2 linked regions of the Pelodiscus sinensis genome follow. The protein of the gene in region 1 purifies or fractionates together with the protein of each later gene. This does not show direct contact. Links are inferred from orthologs where the notes say so. Each region holds a gene or a part of one and is shown in the gene's direction. Other genes may lie near its edges.

Region 1 (7,742 bases):
GCAGCACCAGCTATCACAGCACCAATATCAGCACTGACTGCCATGGCATCATTATCAGTGTCTACGGTGGCACAAACACACCCAGCTTCCATAGCACTGATAGTGCCCAGCATCAAGAGAAACCAAGAAGGAGGAGGCATCACTCCTCCTCGCTGTGGCACTGATCCCTGGCACTGTTGGCTTCTACCCCACCCTGGTCCACGTCAGAATACACATCTAATTTGAAGGCAGAATCTTATGCCTCCAGAAGGCGCACACATCGCTCCAGACCTCAGAAGTGATGCTGGAGCAACGCACCACAGATCATGCCATAGGCATCATGACCTCCCCAGTTGAAGTGGCAGTGGCTCTTCTGGACCTCATGTGCTTGTCACCAGGCCTAGGGCCTGCCTCCAGGCCGGCCTCAGTATCCCGTGGGACCAAACAGCCACTTGTCTTTTCTTCCTCAGCCAAGTGGTTGAGAAAGCATATTCCTATCATGTTTTAATAGCCTACTGCACACTGGTATCTTTGACCATTTTCAATCCCAGTATCACTCCAGCCACAGAATTTAAACTGATCTGTAATAGGGCCAGTCATATTCAACATATTCACAAATTATTTGAAAAGGGAGTAAACAGTGAGGTGGCAAAATTTGAAGATGATAGAAAAACTACTCAAAATAGTTAGGTCCAAAGACGACTGCAAAGAGTTACAAAGGGATCTCACAAAACTGGATAACTTGGCAACCAAATGGCAAATAAAATTAAATATTGATAAATACAAAGTAATGCACATAGGAAAACATAATCCCAGTTATACATACAAGATAATAGGGCTTAAATTACCTGGTCCTGTTACCACTCAAGAAACAGATCTTGGAGTCATTGTAGATAGTTCTCTGAAAATAGCCAATGTGTAGCAGCAGTCAAAAAAGCAAACAAAATGTTGGGAATCATTAAGGAAGAGATAGATAAAATGACAGAAAAATATCATATTGTCTATAAAAATCCATGGTAGGCTCACATCTTCAATACTGCATGCAGATGTGGTCACTCCATCTCAGAAAGGATATCTTGGAATTGGAAAAGGTTCCGAAAAGGGCAACAAAAATTATTAGGGGTATTGAATAGGGATGTTAAATTGTGAATAATTGACTAATCGAATAGTCAATGCATTTTGCATCGACTATTTGATTAGTTGATAAGGTGCCTCTGCCTTTGAAGTGTAGCAGCAGACCTAGGGATGTTGCTACACTTCAAAGGTAAAAGCACAGTGTAGAACCTAGGGTCAGCTGAGGACTCCCCTGCTGACCCCAGGCTCCATGATGCACTGCAGCTTTTAAATGCTATAGGGAGCCTGGTGTCAGGCAGTAAGGGGAGGGGGAAGTGACTAGTCGACTAGCTTGTCGAATATCTGATAAACATTTGCTTATCGGATAGTTGACTAGTCCTTCACATCTCTAGTATTGAATGGCTTCCATATGAGGAGCAGTTGACAAGACTGAGACTTTTCAGTTTGGAAAACAGATGACTAAGATAGGCTAAGACAAAGGTCTATAAAACCATGGCTGGTATAAAGAAAGTAAATAAGGAAGTATTATTTATTCCTTCTCATAATACAAGGACTAGGCATCACCAAATGAAATTTATAGGCAGCAGGTTTAAAACAAACAAAAGTATTTTTTCATCCAACACACAGCCAAATTGTGGAACACCTTGCCAGAGGATGTTGTGAAGGCCAAATCTATAACAGGGTTAAAAAAAACCCAAAATAAGTTCATGGAAGATAGGTCCATCAGTGCCTATGAGCCAGGATGGGCAGGGATGATGTCCTTAGCCTCTGTTTGCCAGAAATTGGGAATAGGTGATGGGGGTGGATCATTTGATGACTACCTGTTCTGTTTATTCCCTCTGAGGCACCTGGTATTGGCCACTGTTGGAACACAGGATGAGGGATGTTAAATATTGGTTAATTAAATAGTCAAGTAACCTCTAGTTTAAAGAGAAGCTAGATAAATTCATGGAGGTTAGGTCCATAAAAGACTATTAGCCAGGGGTAGGAATGGTGTCCCTGGAGATGGATGGCACGAGACAAATCGCTTGATCATTGTCTTTGGTCTGCCCCCTCCGCTGGCCACTGTTGGCAGACAGACTATTGGGCTAGATGGACCTTTGGTCTGACCCAGTATGGCCATTCTTATGTTCTTATGTACTCATGAATTCTTATCGGTTAGTCGATTATTCTATAGTCCCCGTGGGCAGGCCTGGCAGCAGTGCAGGGTGGTAGGTGGGAACTAATCTGCTAGGGGAGCTAGTTTAAAAACCAGCTCCTCTTGCAGACTGGCTGCTTGTCACCCTGTGCTGCTGCCACTGATGAAGAGACAGTAGTGCAGGTGGCAGCAACCCCTGTTGGGGGGGAGGGGGTCCTTAGCTCCCAGACCCAGCACGAAACATAACTGAGCTGGGCTGCCTGCCCACCTAGCTCCTAATACACTTAAAGTGCAGAGCCACAATGGGGGCAGGTCCCAGATCCAGCATGAGCCAGAACTGAGCCAGGCTGCTGGCCAGCCTGCTACAAAATTTACTTGTTGCCGAGGGAGGGAAATGCGTGTAGTTTAGAGTTAACCTATAAGCTTTTGCTTATCAGTTAATTGGTCAATCAACTGCACTATTACATTCCAACACAGGATGCTAGTCTAGATGGACCTGTGGTCTGACTCAGTATGGGTATGTCTACACTACCCTCCTAGTTTGAACTAGGAGGGTAATGTAGGCATACCGCACTTGCAAATGAAGCCCGGGATTTGAATTTCCCGGGCTTTATTTGCATAAGCGGGGAGCCGCCATTTTTTAAACCACGCTGGTTTGAACCCCGTGCAGCGCGGCTACACGGGGCACGAACTAGGTAGTTTGAATTAGGCTTCCTAGTTCGAACTACCGTTACTCCTCGTGAAATGAGGAGTAACGGTAGTTCGAACTAGGAAGCCTAGTTTGAACTACCTAGTTCATGCCCCGTGTAGCCGCGCTGCACGGGGTTCAAACCAGCGTGGTTTTAAAAATGGCGGCTCCCCGCTTATGCAAATGAAGCCTGGGAAATTCAAATCCCGGGCTTCATTTGCAAGTGCGGCATGCCTACATTACCCGCTAGTTCGAACTAGCGGGGTAGTGTAGACATACCCTATGGCAATTCTTATGTTAACTACTCTCCAGTAATAAGCAGACTTGTTTTATGATGCCGCTGATGTCTTTCTCTTTCCTAAATGTATCTTTGGATATAATGGGCCATTCCATCATTTTATCCATATCAATACTGTTGATTATGCAGGTGTCCCTGGTTCCCTCTTGTCCTGCCTCCCCTGCATTCTGTCTTTGGTGATAGCTCATTTTCAAGGCCAAGATCTGTCCTGTATGGAGTCCCACACAGTTAAATTTGCAGCCCTCTTAGTCTTTTCCACCAGAATTCTTTTCACTCATCTGTATCTTTTACCTCCCTGTTACTTAGCCATATGTATCTTTCACCACCTTTAGCGACTTCTACTCCACCTTTTGTGTCTTGATCAAATAAACTTGTAACTTTGTTCCAACTTCCTTCAGATAAATCTAAGACAGAAGTGCTTCTCTTGGGCAAGAAATGCTTGTTCAAACACATTTTCATTTCTTCATTTTTTTTCAGCTTAAGCCTTTCATTTGCCTTTTCGGTTGATCAGCTTAGCATTACTCTCAACCTTTCTGTTACATTGTCTATGCCCATGACATTGTTTACCCCATAACGCTTGTGTGAGAGGCTCCACGTGGGTGGTACCTTGCATTTTTATTTACCTGAAAAAAGCCTGATACTTATATAGTACAAAAGCTTCAGAGGGGCAGCAGAGTTAGTCTGTAACTGGGAAAATGTAAAAAACAACAAACAGTCTAGCAGCACCTTAAAGACTACAAAACATGTAGACCCATTTCTTCAGTAATCATAAACCTACTAATAAATAGGTCAAGCTTCCTATCAACACTTCTGCAACATTGCTCACATTTCACTGCCACTGACTTCTGAAAGTCTTAGCCATGATTTAATCTTTCTCTCTTCTAATCTTGACTATGACCTCATCCTCTTCTGTGGTCACCTCAGCTCTTGAAATTTCAGCAAGCAAAGAAAATTGTTGCCTATGGTTTTGCACGTACAGGAATGAAAAGGTGACACCAGGATGGGCCCAGTAGCACCTGCCCCAGGGATTTCCTGGCTGGCTCTGGTGGAGGAGGTGCCAGACTGGGGCAAGGCATATGGGATGAATGGCCTTGGGCCAGGCCAGGCACCACCCACCTAGAGGCTGAGCTATGATTGTGGGAGTGTGGCTGGACATCACTGGAGTGAGGTGAATGTGGGGCACGCATGGGAAGCCTCTACCACCCCCACAAAGTTGTCGTCCCCTCTCCCGCCCCCGCCAATTACCTCATCTGACTCTGGCAGGGCCAGCCTGACAAAACGCGGCCTATTCTAGTTCTTATTGGCTGGCCATCATGTCAATCTACCATCCTCCCTGACTCAGCGTCCATTGGCCTGGGCTCTTTGGGGGCGGAGTGACGCTTGTTCTCGAGCGTTAGCGGCGGAGCTTAGAACGCCACGCCCTCTTCCTAGCGCCACTTGCCCCGCCTCCTCAGCCGCTGTTGGCTGCGGTCGAAGTCAATCAGGAGCAAGCGGTGTTTCTATTGGTGGGCGATAGGGAAACGGGGCGGGGCTTTTGCTTGGCCGCGGCCGCTCCCCCCCGGCTTGAAACCTCGCAGTGCCGGGGAGTTTAGAGGCGTTGAAGCCGGAGCAGAGCGGCGAGTCCGTGCAAGGAGCCGGCCCCGAGGATCAGTCTCTCAGCGCCAGGAGCAGGCGCCGCGGCTTCTCGCAGGCTTTGGCTGGACTCAGGTGAGGTGCGGGGGCGGGGGCGCGGACGAGGAACGCAGCGCTCGGGTCTCGGGCTGGCGCTAGCGGCTTTGAGAGCGGGTTGGGGCGGTCGGGCGGTTCGGATCCGGTGCCTGGGAGCCGTTTGTCTCGCCCGCGGCTTCGCCCGGCCTGGCAGCGCAGCCGTTACCTGCCGTCTCCTCTCTCCGCCCCGGGCGCAGCGCCTAGGTCAGGGTCACGGAGGTGCCCCCTCCGCGTCCCGTGCAGGGCGAGCCCTGGGCCGGGGGGCAGCGAAGCACGTGCCCGCGCCTTTCCGCCGCGGTGGCGCTGTGCCGCGGGCGTTCCCTGCCGGCGCGCGGGTGGGGGGGTTGTGCCGCTCGCGCGGGTTCCCCCCCCCCCCCCCCCCTCCAGCGCGCGAGAGTAACGGGCGGGCGAAGGGACCGTTTGGCAGCTGTCAGGGCTCCCGCCCTGAGTCACGGGCTGACAGTCCCGCGGCAAGGCGCTTGCAACGGGCTTGGCTTCCGCCCTGCGACCCAGACTTCCTCATTCGCCTGGCTCCGCCGCGGGGAGGGAGTGGCGGGGCGAGATGCAGCTTGCCAGTGCGCCGAGAGCGCGAGGCTTTCCTGCCCCGATCCAGCACCCGCCACCGGGACACCCTCCCGCCTTCTTACCCGCCGACCTGCGCCTGGGGCAGACACAAACACTGGCGTCCCTCCCCTCCCCCCGGCCCTTGGGGGTGAGGCGCACCCCCGCGAGCTTATCCGCGCTCCTGTCCTGAGCTGCCTCCCGGCGGTGTGACATGCGCCTTAAGGCAGGAGCTTGTGCTGTGGAGTAGGCTGTAGTGTGATGGTAACCGTGTGCCCTGGTCAGGGGAAGGAGGCAGTTCTCACAATGGCTACTAGTGTCCTCTTCCATCCCGGACCTGCTGCTGAATCACCTTTGTGCGGCTCTGCAGTGCTTCCTGTTAGTGGGTCTCTCTGTCCTTGCCGCCCCAAGCCTGGGCTAAGAACCTAAAGGCTTTTGCGGAGGAGACTATTTAACAGGCCTGTCTTACCTAAACTGACGGGTTTGAGAGTCGAAGCTGAATGGGTGTTATTCTAGAAGGAATCCGAATCAGCAAGCCATGACGCCCTGCCCTTCTCTGTAAAGAAGGTACAGAGTAATTTGCATAGAGGTGTGGAGTTTTATGAACCATGATTCTGAAATTGAAACTCACATCCTTAACTCTTTTTTTTTTTTAAATCAGCATAGGTGACTTCCGAGTTACTTGTTTTAAGAGGTGAAACCCCTCTGATTAGTTACCACTTGTATAAAGAATAATTTATAACTTAATCACCAGGTAACTATGATTAATTTGGTTGTGGCACTCCAGTGAAAGCAAACCTTGGTACAGCTTTGTATTGACTCATATGCTCAGAGTTGCTAGAGTTGGGGCATTCAAATGTTAAGCTTAGCTGAGATAAGCAAATATTTCTACTATGTGGTATGTTGAGAGGTACCAATTGGAAGAAAATTAATACATGAAAGTGGAGCTACTTTAGTAATTAAGTATTTTGAAATTGTGCAGGATAATGCTAACAGCCCTAATAAGCACATGATACTACTGAGCTGGGAATTCTGGCCATGTGAAACTGCCTCTGAAGCTATGTCTGTAGTAAATTGTACAGTTTACCTTCTCATTGAAACTTCACATCAATAGAGGCTAGTTAGGGTGGCCTGTTTTTCTTGAGCATTACTTCAACAGATATGTATATTTTGTAGAAAAGAGATTTTTTTTCTGTAGTGCCTGCCTAAGATTTTCATTAGTTTTCTTGAAAATTGGTGTAGAATCATGAATGGTGCCAGATAAATAGCTATGAAATGTATGGGTCATAGCCAGTCTGAAGAGTGCAGACAAGGTTGAATGCCTTATGTAGTGTTCTCTCTCAATGTTTAACTTGTCTTGCCGAGATCTGATGTTGTAAATTTTCAGTTCATAATCCTATGTATTTGTTGGTCTCTAAGGAGCCATGGGACAACTTGTTAGTCTGTAACTTTAAAAACAACATGTCTACTGCTCTAAGACTTAAGTAGCTAGACCTGTGGTGTCCAACTTGTTTTGAAAACAATAACTACTACTGTTAATGGCTACTACTATAGCTAACTAGCCACACTCACCTGGCCAAATAGCCACATGTGGCTAGTGTGTTGGACACTACGGAGCTAGACCCTTGTCAACTTGACCTCTTTATTCTTGGAGAGGGTGTGGCTGTTGAAAATGTACAGTATTTCTTTTCTAGATGTCTTCTGATTGGTTTCCTTAAAATGGACTAAAGAAAACAAGTCTGTGTATTATCACAGCTTTAAACCTATGTTGTAAAGCGACTCTGAAATAATGAAAAGTTCAGGAAAATATTTATCCATAAGGTAGCACTGGAAGGTGCTGTACATATATCTTCACTTTGGAGGCTTCATACTTTTTTTGGGGGGGGGGGGGATTGCATTGCAATTTAAAAACTTGAACTCTCCCACACCAAGATGGGATATTTACAAAATCTGGGCTGCATACCAGTGTCTGCACTGCACTTGAACAGACCTTTAGCTCTGCGAGTCTGAGTTTTTAATTGCAGTGTAAACATGCCCCATATGTCCTCCTAAGCATTTGTTTCCCTGATATGAAAAATGCCAGGAAGTGAAGGTCTTGTGTTAAGTCTGTAGTAAGGAGCAACTAGTACTTTAATTGTTTATAAATGTGTCTCACGCACAAATGTTCAAAGCACTCAGGCATATTGATAATCCAAATGCTCACTGTCTGACTGGTAGGAGGCAATGAGAGAGCATGAAGCAATATTTTATTGATCTTGTTTTAAAAATGCCTTATTAAATGATGCAATAAATCCTAT
Region 2 (7,303 bases), on another chromosome or scaffold:
CTCCCCCTTCTAGCTGGCTCTGGCCTCTCACTTTGGGGATGCATGTGGCTCCATGTGCACTCCCCATGCAGCACATAAAACTGTCCTAAGATATAACACTGTCCAATGGCTAGGAGTGGAAGCTAGACAAATTAAGACTGAAAACAAGGTGTAACTCTTTATTCGTGGTGGTAATTAGCTACAGGAACAATTTACGAAGTGCCATGTGGATTCTCCATCATGGGACATTTTAAAATCAAGATTAGATATTTTTCTAAAAGGTATGTTCTAGATATTAAGTTTTATAGCCTGTGCTGTACAGTAAGTCAGATAAGGCAATTATAATCATCCCTTCTGGCCTTAGAATCTATGAATATCTATTGATGTTTTTCCTTGTTCTTTGAGTGTGTAACTTGAGATACCTAGTTCCTAATTTGCAGAAGTGCTGAACATATAATTGTAACTGAATTCAATGGGAATTCTGCTCTGAGCAAACAAAGTGCTATAGAATGCCACATTAATATTAAAAATCAAACCCTAGATTTCTCACATTGGGCAATCAAAGTTAGCAGACATTTCTGACCTTAATCTCTATGCTTCAGTTAATTATCTGTAAAATGGGCACAATACTGCCATTTTACCTAACCACTGAGATGTGAAGATAAATGTATCAATGTTTGAGAAGGACTCAGGCCAAGACTTTTAAAGATATTTAGATGCCTAACTCCCACTGACTTCAATGAGAAGTCTAAATACCTCAGGTTTGGGACCTCAGACACTTAACTGAAGAACACCATAACAAAGCCCATGAGAGAATGAATAAATATATTCAGAGCACACTGTGAAGGGTGTGCAGTATTAAGTGCCATGGAGTCATACATTGAACGACCAAGATACAATCAAATATTGAATAGGTATCCATTCAGTGAACACCATTTATCCTGTGCATTGAATGAGGCTGGGGTCTTGTGGTAAAATACATGATCATAAAATTAAAGACCATATCACAATGCACAGACGAGGGGACCAAACTAAGGATGCACAGAATCTTAATTTTGGCACTTCCTAAATTCTCATTACTGAAAATTTCAACTTTAATTTTCTTTTAATGTAATTTTTTTGGGGTGGGGGTATATGTGTGTATATAATTGCAGGCTTATGTGATGTTTTACAATGCGACATAAAAGGATAAGCTGAGGAGCTTTTCACATCCTAAAGCAATATCAGGGATATTACAAAATGTCAGCCAAAATGGAACTATTCAGTAGAGGGGGAAAAAAAATGTGGGAATGTAAGTCCAAAGCGGGGTGGTGTTACCTGCACTGAAAAAAAAAAAGCAGAAAATGGACACAACAGATTCCAGGATACACTTAGGAGGTTTTGTTTGTTTTTCAATATACTATAATTCAGGGATGTGAAAGGTTAAAATAACCAGCTGGCTGATGGGGGTTGGAGCAGCACACCACTCACCATGGGCAGAACAGGGGGGAGGCTCAAACAGGGGCTGCTCTGGGTATAAATCTCTGGGATTCAAAGCTAGAACGCATTTATTAAGCAGTCTTTAAAATATCTGGAAAGAGCCAAATGTAAAGTTCTGATTTAATTAAAATTATCTAACATGTACTTCTAACATATAGAATGAGGCAGAATATGTAGTAGTTCTAAAATAAAAAAAGGATACGAATTATTACTAAAAAGAACTATGCACAAACACAAGGAAGATAGGAAACAGCGGACCTAAATGAAAACTCATAAATGGAATGGCAGTTTAAATTATTACAAATTATATAGAGGAGGTAAATAGAAGAATAGGTAGATATTAAAGTACTGTGGTGATGAGCACTATAAAAGTAATGACACAGAGCAGCGTTTCTCAAAGAGGTCCACGGATACACTGAGAAACCTGCTAACTGGCTGCTCCAGATTGTTTATTTACTAGCGCTGCAGACACAGAGCCTCACAGCTCCCATTAGCTCTGGTTTGTTGTTTGCAGCCAACGGGAACCACCAGAAGTGGTGGCCCAACCAACGCTGCTTCACCTTGGCTGCAAGCAGTGAACAAGAGCCAATGGGGGCCACAAGGCTTTGTGGCTACAGAGCCAGTAAATAAACAAACCGGAGTGGCCAGTTAACAGGTTTCTCAGAGCGGATCTGTGGACCACTTTGAGAAACGCTGACATAGAGCAGAAGCAAAATGCAGGGCAATGTAGCACTTTAAAGACTAACAAGATGCTTCAGCTACCCCAGACTAACACGGCTACATTTCTATCACTATTTGACATAGAGCAATGTTTCCTAACTGGAAGGTCACAGTTCAAAGGGAGGTCACCAAATACAATCAAAGGGATTGTGAGGCACTGAACATTTTATTAAAATTCTAAAGCAAAGAAAGTTTCCAGAATAATGTTGGGGCCAAAATCTTCAATGTTTTTGAGTTTGCATAGGTGACCCTCTTCTACTGTCTCACTCCTTCATACCCATACTCCTCCAGGTTATCTATGGATACAGCTACACGGAGCAGCTATATCAGGATACCGGAGGTATCTCAAAATAGCTACCCCATGTTTTAACAAGCCACCCATTATTTCAAAATATTTTTCAAAATAATGAGCATGCTATTTCGACATCCATGTAACCGTCATTCCCGGAGGTCTCCAAGAAGTGTGTTATTTTGAAATTTGGCGCTGTGTAGATGCACCAAATTTCAAAATAAGCTAGTTTGAAATAGACTTGAAATAAGATAAGCAAATCTTATTTTGAGTGTATAGACGCACCCTATTTTCTGCCAAGCTCTTCAAACACACACACAATAAATTTCATAGGTTTATGATCACAGATACATTTTGACACTTATAGAAAGTGTTAGAGGGTTGCAACAGTTTTCAAAAACTGGGTTGCCAGCCTGAAAAGAAAGCGAAATAGGGAGCTCCAAGCATGGTGCTATAGGTCTGAAGTGTTTACAATGACTGCAAGCTACCAGTTCAAAATAAAGGATGTCCTGGTGACATTCTCTGGTTCACGTGAAAAAAAATTAAACCAACAGAAAGCAAGCAAGCAAAGGTTAGCTATTACACAGTGTGGGGGAAGAGACCGCCCCTCAAAATAAACCGCCTTCCAGACTATGCCCCTGTAACTATCCCGAGTTTCCCCCTACCACCCATCCAGGGCAAAGACTTCTCGGGGCTGGAACAGGGCGGCATCTAGGAGGCAAGAGTGCCGCTCGCAGCAGCGCCCCTTGTCACAGGCAGAGGGGGATGCTGCTCCTCACTGCAATGGGGACCCCCGCGCGGGGAGGGGGAGCTAAGGCAGCCGAACCCCCGCTGCTATAGGGACCCCCCCCCCATGTGGTGAGTTTACGGCTGCCCCACAGGGATCCCTCCGGGGGCGGAGGGATATCGGCAGCACCGCACGGACTTTGAGCTCGCCCAGGGATCCGGCTACCTCGCCGCTGCAGCGCCCTCCAGGACGGGCAGCGGCCCCAGAAACTCAGTCTGAGCCCTTAACGGAGTCACTGAGGGTCAGACGTACCCAGCAGCAGGGCAGGGCCGCGCCGGGCCTGGCGCACGGCTCAGAGCCCGCACGTTAGCAGCAACGTGAGCCTCAAAGTGCCGCCGTGCAAACACAACCTCGCCCTCCGCGGCACCACCTCGCCCGCCTCTAGGCTGCGCATGCGCAGCAATCGCATCGGCAGTCTTCCAGGGCAACAGCGCGTGCGCAATTATTTCCCCAGTGTGGGGCGCCCTCCGCGGCACCGCCTCCCGTCCTAGGTCTATACTAGTGCGCCTGCGCAGCGCCTGGGGGGGGGGGACTCACCCATGCTGCTCAGCTTAGTGCGCGTGCGCGGCTTCCATCTTTTTCTTCTCTCCCACTCCCAAACTACTCGCGGGCTCAGGAAGAAGGAAATGAGGTCACAAATAGCCCAGTCCCTCCACACCAGCGTTGCTAAGCAACGCTTCCCATAGCAACGGAAGAGACAACAGTAGGCAGCTCTCTGGTAGAACCATCTTCTCAGCCGAGGCAAGCGGAGCAGGGTGAGGGAAGGGGGGAGCTCCCGGCGGGGGCGGGCAGCGGGGAGAAGCGAGGGGTGAAGGGGACGGAGGGAATGAGGCGCAGAGGGGCAGGGGGCTGGAGCGAAGGGTGGGAGCGGGTCCCAGGAGGGGGCAGCGAAGAGAGAAGTCGCAGGAGCGCTGGAGATGAGAGCGGCGGGGGAGAGAGAAGGAGGGAGGGGCGGGAGAAGTGGAGGGAGATAAGGAGGGCTGAGAAAATGGCAGAGAAGAGAGAGAGGGGGCAAACCTGAAGGGTGCACGTACAATGTCAATGTACCACCCCCAGGGCCTGCTCAGGCCAAGGATGACCGCGCTGTGCGCCCAAGAAAGCATATATAATCTCCTACCCCGGGTGGAGGAGAAGCCTGTCAAACTACCAAGGTATGTGGGAGAGAAAGAATCAATTTCTTCTGCAACTTTGTCTCAAGTCATACACTCCAATTTTTATTAGCTCACGTGGGGAACTGATATGACAAAACTGTAAATATATATCCAAATAACACACTTGCTGTGACTTGTAACTAATCATTATATTACTATGTAAAAACCAGTTTGAATATAACCTTTTGCACATTCCTTTGATAAAATAAATGGAAGTGTGAATGAGTATCCAGTCTTTGCTCAAGTAGAGGTTCATATTGCTAATTTGTCACACTTCTGGGCTCTGCAGCATCTGTAAGTGAAAAATAAAGCATGTTGCAGGCCCTTTCATCTTTTCATGTTTTATTATTTAATGTACACCAACAATGCTCTTGGCATTCTACAAAATAGAGAGAAAGGTGTTTCCTGCCCTGAGCTTTTCATTTAAATTCTGTTGCAGTACTACCCTCAATACCCTATGGTCTGTGTCTTCCATAACTGGGAAATCACTCCCTTCACTTTTTCTTGTAAGTTACACAAAACATTTAGCACATAAAAGGGGACTTGTCTAATTCACATTTGGGAAGGAAGCGGAGAAAAATCCAGTGATGTAATATAAGAATAATCAAGGAGAGTAGCTGTTCTAAAACTCTTCTCATACCTTTCAAAAGCTCTACATTTTGTTTGTTTGTTTTTAATTTTTAAAGTCATATAAGTGGAAATATCTATCTCCTTCCCTGAATTCAAAGGCCACGACCTCAAATTCTGGTCCTCAGTAACTTAGCTTGCATTGATGAAAGGAAGCAGATTCTTAAATGAAAACCTCAACAATTCTGAAAAATCCTTTCCCCATATTAGGGAAATGTGAGGCCTTTCTTATTTATATGATCAAAAACATAAGGACCACTAGCGGGGAAATTGAAATTCATCTTAATTCAAAGAACAGAACTCTCTCTCTCTCTGTCTCTCTCTGTAGTTTCATAAACTGTGAGCCATGGTAGTTGCAACCTGCTCTGCCCATTCATTCTTATTCATGGTCTAGTTGTGTCTAGTTTGTATTCCACCATAAGCCACACAAAATATTTTCAGGGAAAACACAATAGTACAGTAGAGTGCTATTTATGTGAATCTTTTGAATCCCAATCTTCCTGTTAACCTGAAGGCATTTCCCTGTCTTTTAGATCACCCCCATCTAAAGACAGTAATAAAAATAAGTGATCTGGCTGGCCCTTGCAACACTTTTACTTCTGTGCACATTTTTGATAATGCTGCTACCATGACTCCCATTCAGCTGAGCCTGTTTAACCAAAGCAATTCCTTCTGTTCTTTTTTGATTAACTAGGTTGTATTATAGTCTCTTTTTGTTGCTTTTATCATATGTGAAAATGTGTCACATGCTGTTTGGTAACAGCTTAGGGTTTTGCCATTTGGGAGGATTGGTACAATTTGTTCTATGACTGTCTAATACACTCCTGTTTTTATCTCAGTATTATTGTTATGTATTATTATTAACATAAATGCATTTTGGGGTACTGCATTTTGATACCACAAGGAATCCATATCTTGACAAAAAGATAGATGTACCTATCAAACAGGGGTGCTGAACGTCAGGCCTGGGAGATGAATTCGGCCCCTGGCTTGTCTGGATCTGGCCCCTGAGGCTCAGGGCTCCCCCCAGCACTGGGGAGCCTGCCCTGGCACTCCAGCCTCCCTCCCCCCTCCGCGCTGCCCCTCCATGGGGATGAAGACCACAAAATCTACTACCCTGGGCCACCATAGGTTCTAGTGTATGAGTGGAATGTGGGGAGTGCCTTTCTCCTTCTCAGTTGGTGATGTCAGTGAGGAGTGCTGTTTTGTTTTGTTTTGTATTTTTGCTTCACTTCTGTGAGGCCACCAACTGAGTTTTCTGTGGGACACAGTCTCCAACCCCAAAAAGGTTCACCATCTCTGCCATAAATCCACATGTCTTTTGTTGCTGTTTTTGTTGTTTCTGTTTAGGTTTTTGTCACATACATAAGCATCCCCTTGAACAAAGTAAGTTAGGGTGCTGTTCTCAAGAACAACTTTATTGCATTATAGATATGTCCAGTATTATGGGCCATATAGTATATAAATTCTTCCATGCCTGGACTCTTGGACCTAATCTACACACAAAAGCCAATGACAAAATTGCTATTGATTTCGGTTTTTCAGGAACAGCCCTAGGCCATATAAGAAATATATGGTATTGGAACATAGAACTTGCTGTTCCAGTTCTGACCAGTGGTCCTTTTAGTATAGACTATGTCATTAACAAGTACCATGGAGGTGTGCAATAATTTGTTATAGGGAATCCTTCCAAGAACTTGGTAAGTGGTTATAGGCTGCACTTTTCTATTATATTAATGGAGATGGTGTGGAATCTGAAATGGAAGTTGAGTATAGAAGGGAACTCTGATTGGAGTGTTGGAACGGGTATGGGGTTTGAGAGAGAGTTTGGGTGATGGAAGGAGTTGTGACCTGGGGAAAGGGATTAGGATACAGGAGGAAGTGTAGGGTCTGGATGGGGGGGTTGGGTGCAAGAGAAGATTCTGACCTGGGGGAGGAATTTTGGAAGGAGTGCAGAGGGTTGGATTATGACCCGGGGCAGGAGTGCAGGGGAGCATGCAGAGGGCTTGGGTTGACCTGGGGAAGGGAATTGGCATATGAGAGGAGGTAGGGTGCCAGGTGCATGCTCTGGCCAGGAGGTGCATACATTAGGCAGCTCCCAGCCAGCAGCCCAGCAGGACCTTAGGACAGGCTCCCTGGCTGCCATGCCCCCACATGCCATTCAAAGCGCTGGCTGGTAGGGCCAACATGTGTGTCTCTGAGTGGCACGCCCTTTGGAGATGAGGAGGGTAGCGGGTCTCCATGTGCTGCACAGCTCCCATTGGCTGGTTT

Evidence for each region. Proteins that work in one complex are often made in the same cells at the same time.
Region 2: the proteins of MYH9 (region 1) and ENKUR purify together in Homo sapiens (affinity purification with western blotting; 4 studies listed by BioGRID, with this or other methods). This does not show direct contact. The link is inferred for Pelodiscus sinensis from reciprocal best matches to the Homo sapiens genes MYH9 and ENKUR.

The regions. Positions count from the first base shown.
Region 1 is NC_134711.1:93,418,183-93,425,924, forward strand, and holds the start of MYH9 (myosin-9), read left to right. Parts: upstream 1-4,736; 5' UTR 4,737-4,884; intron 4,885-5,876; exon of another isoform or gene 5,877-6,012; intron 6,013-7,742. UniProt on the Homo sapiens protein: Cellular myosin that appears to play a role in cytokinesis, cell shape, and specialized functions such as secretion and capping. Required for cortical actin clearance prior to oocyte exocytosis. Promotes cell motility in conjunction with S100A4.
Region 2 is NC_134712.1:224,794,607-224,801,909, reverse strand, and holds the start of ENKUR (enkurin), read left to right. Parts: upstream 1-4,289; coding exon 4,290-4,405; intron 4,406-7,303. Other genes in the region: uncharacterized protein LOC102450762, read right to left, coding at 3,792-3,795. UniProt on the Homo sapiens protein: Adapter that functions to localize a calcium-sensitive signal transduction machinery in sperm to a calcium-permeable ion channel.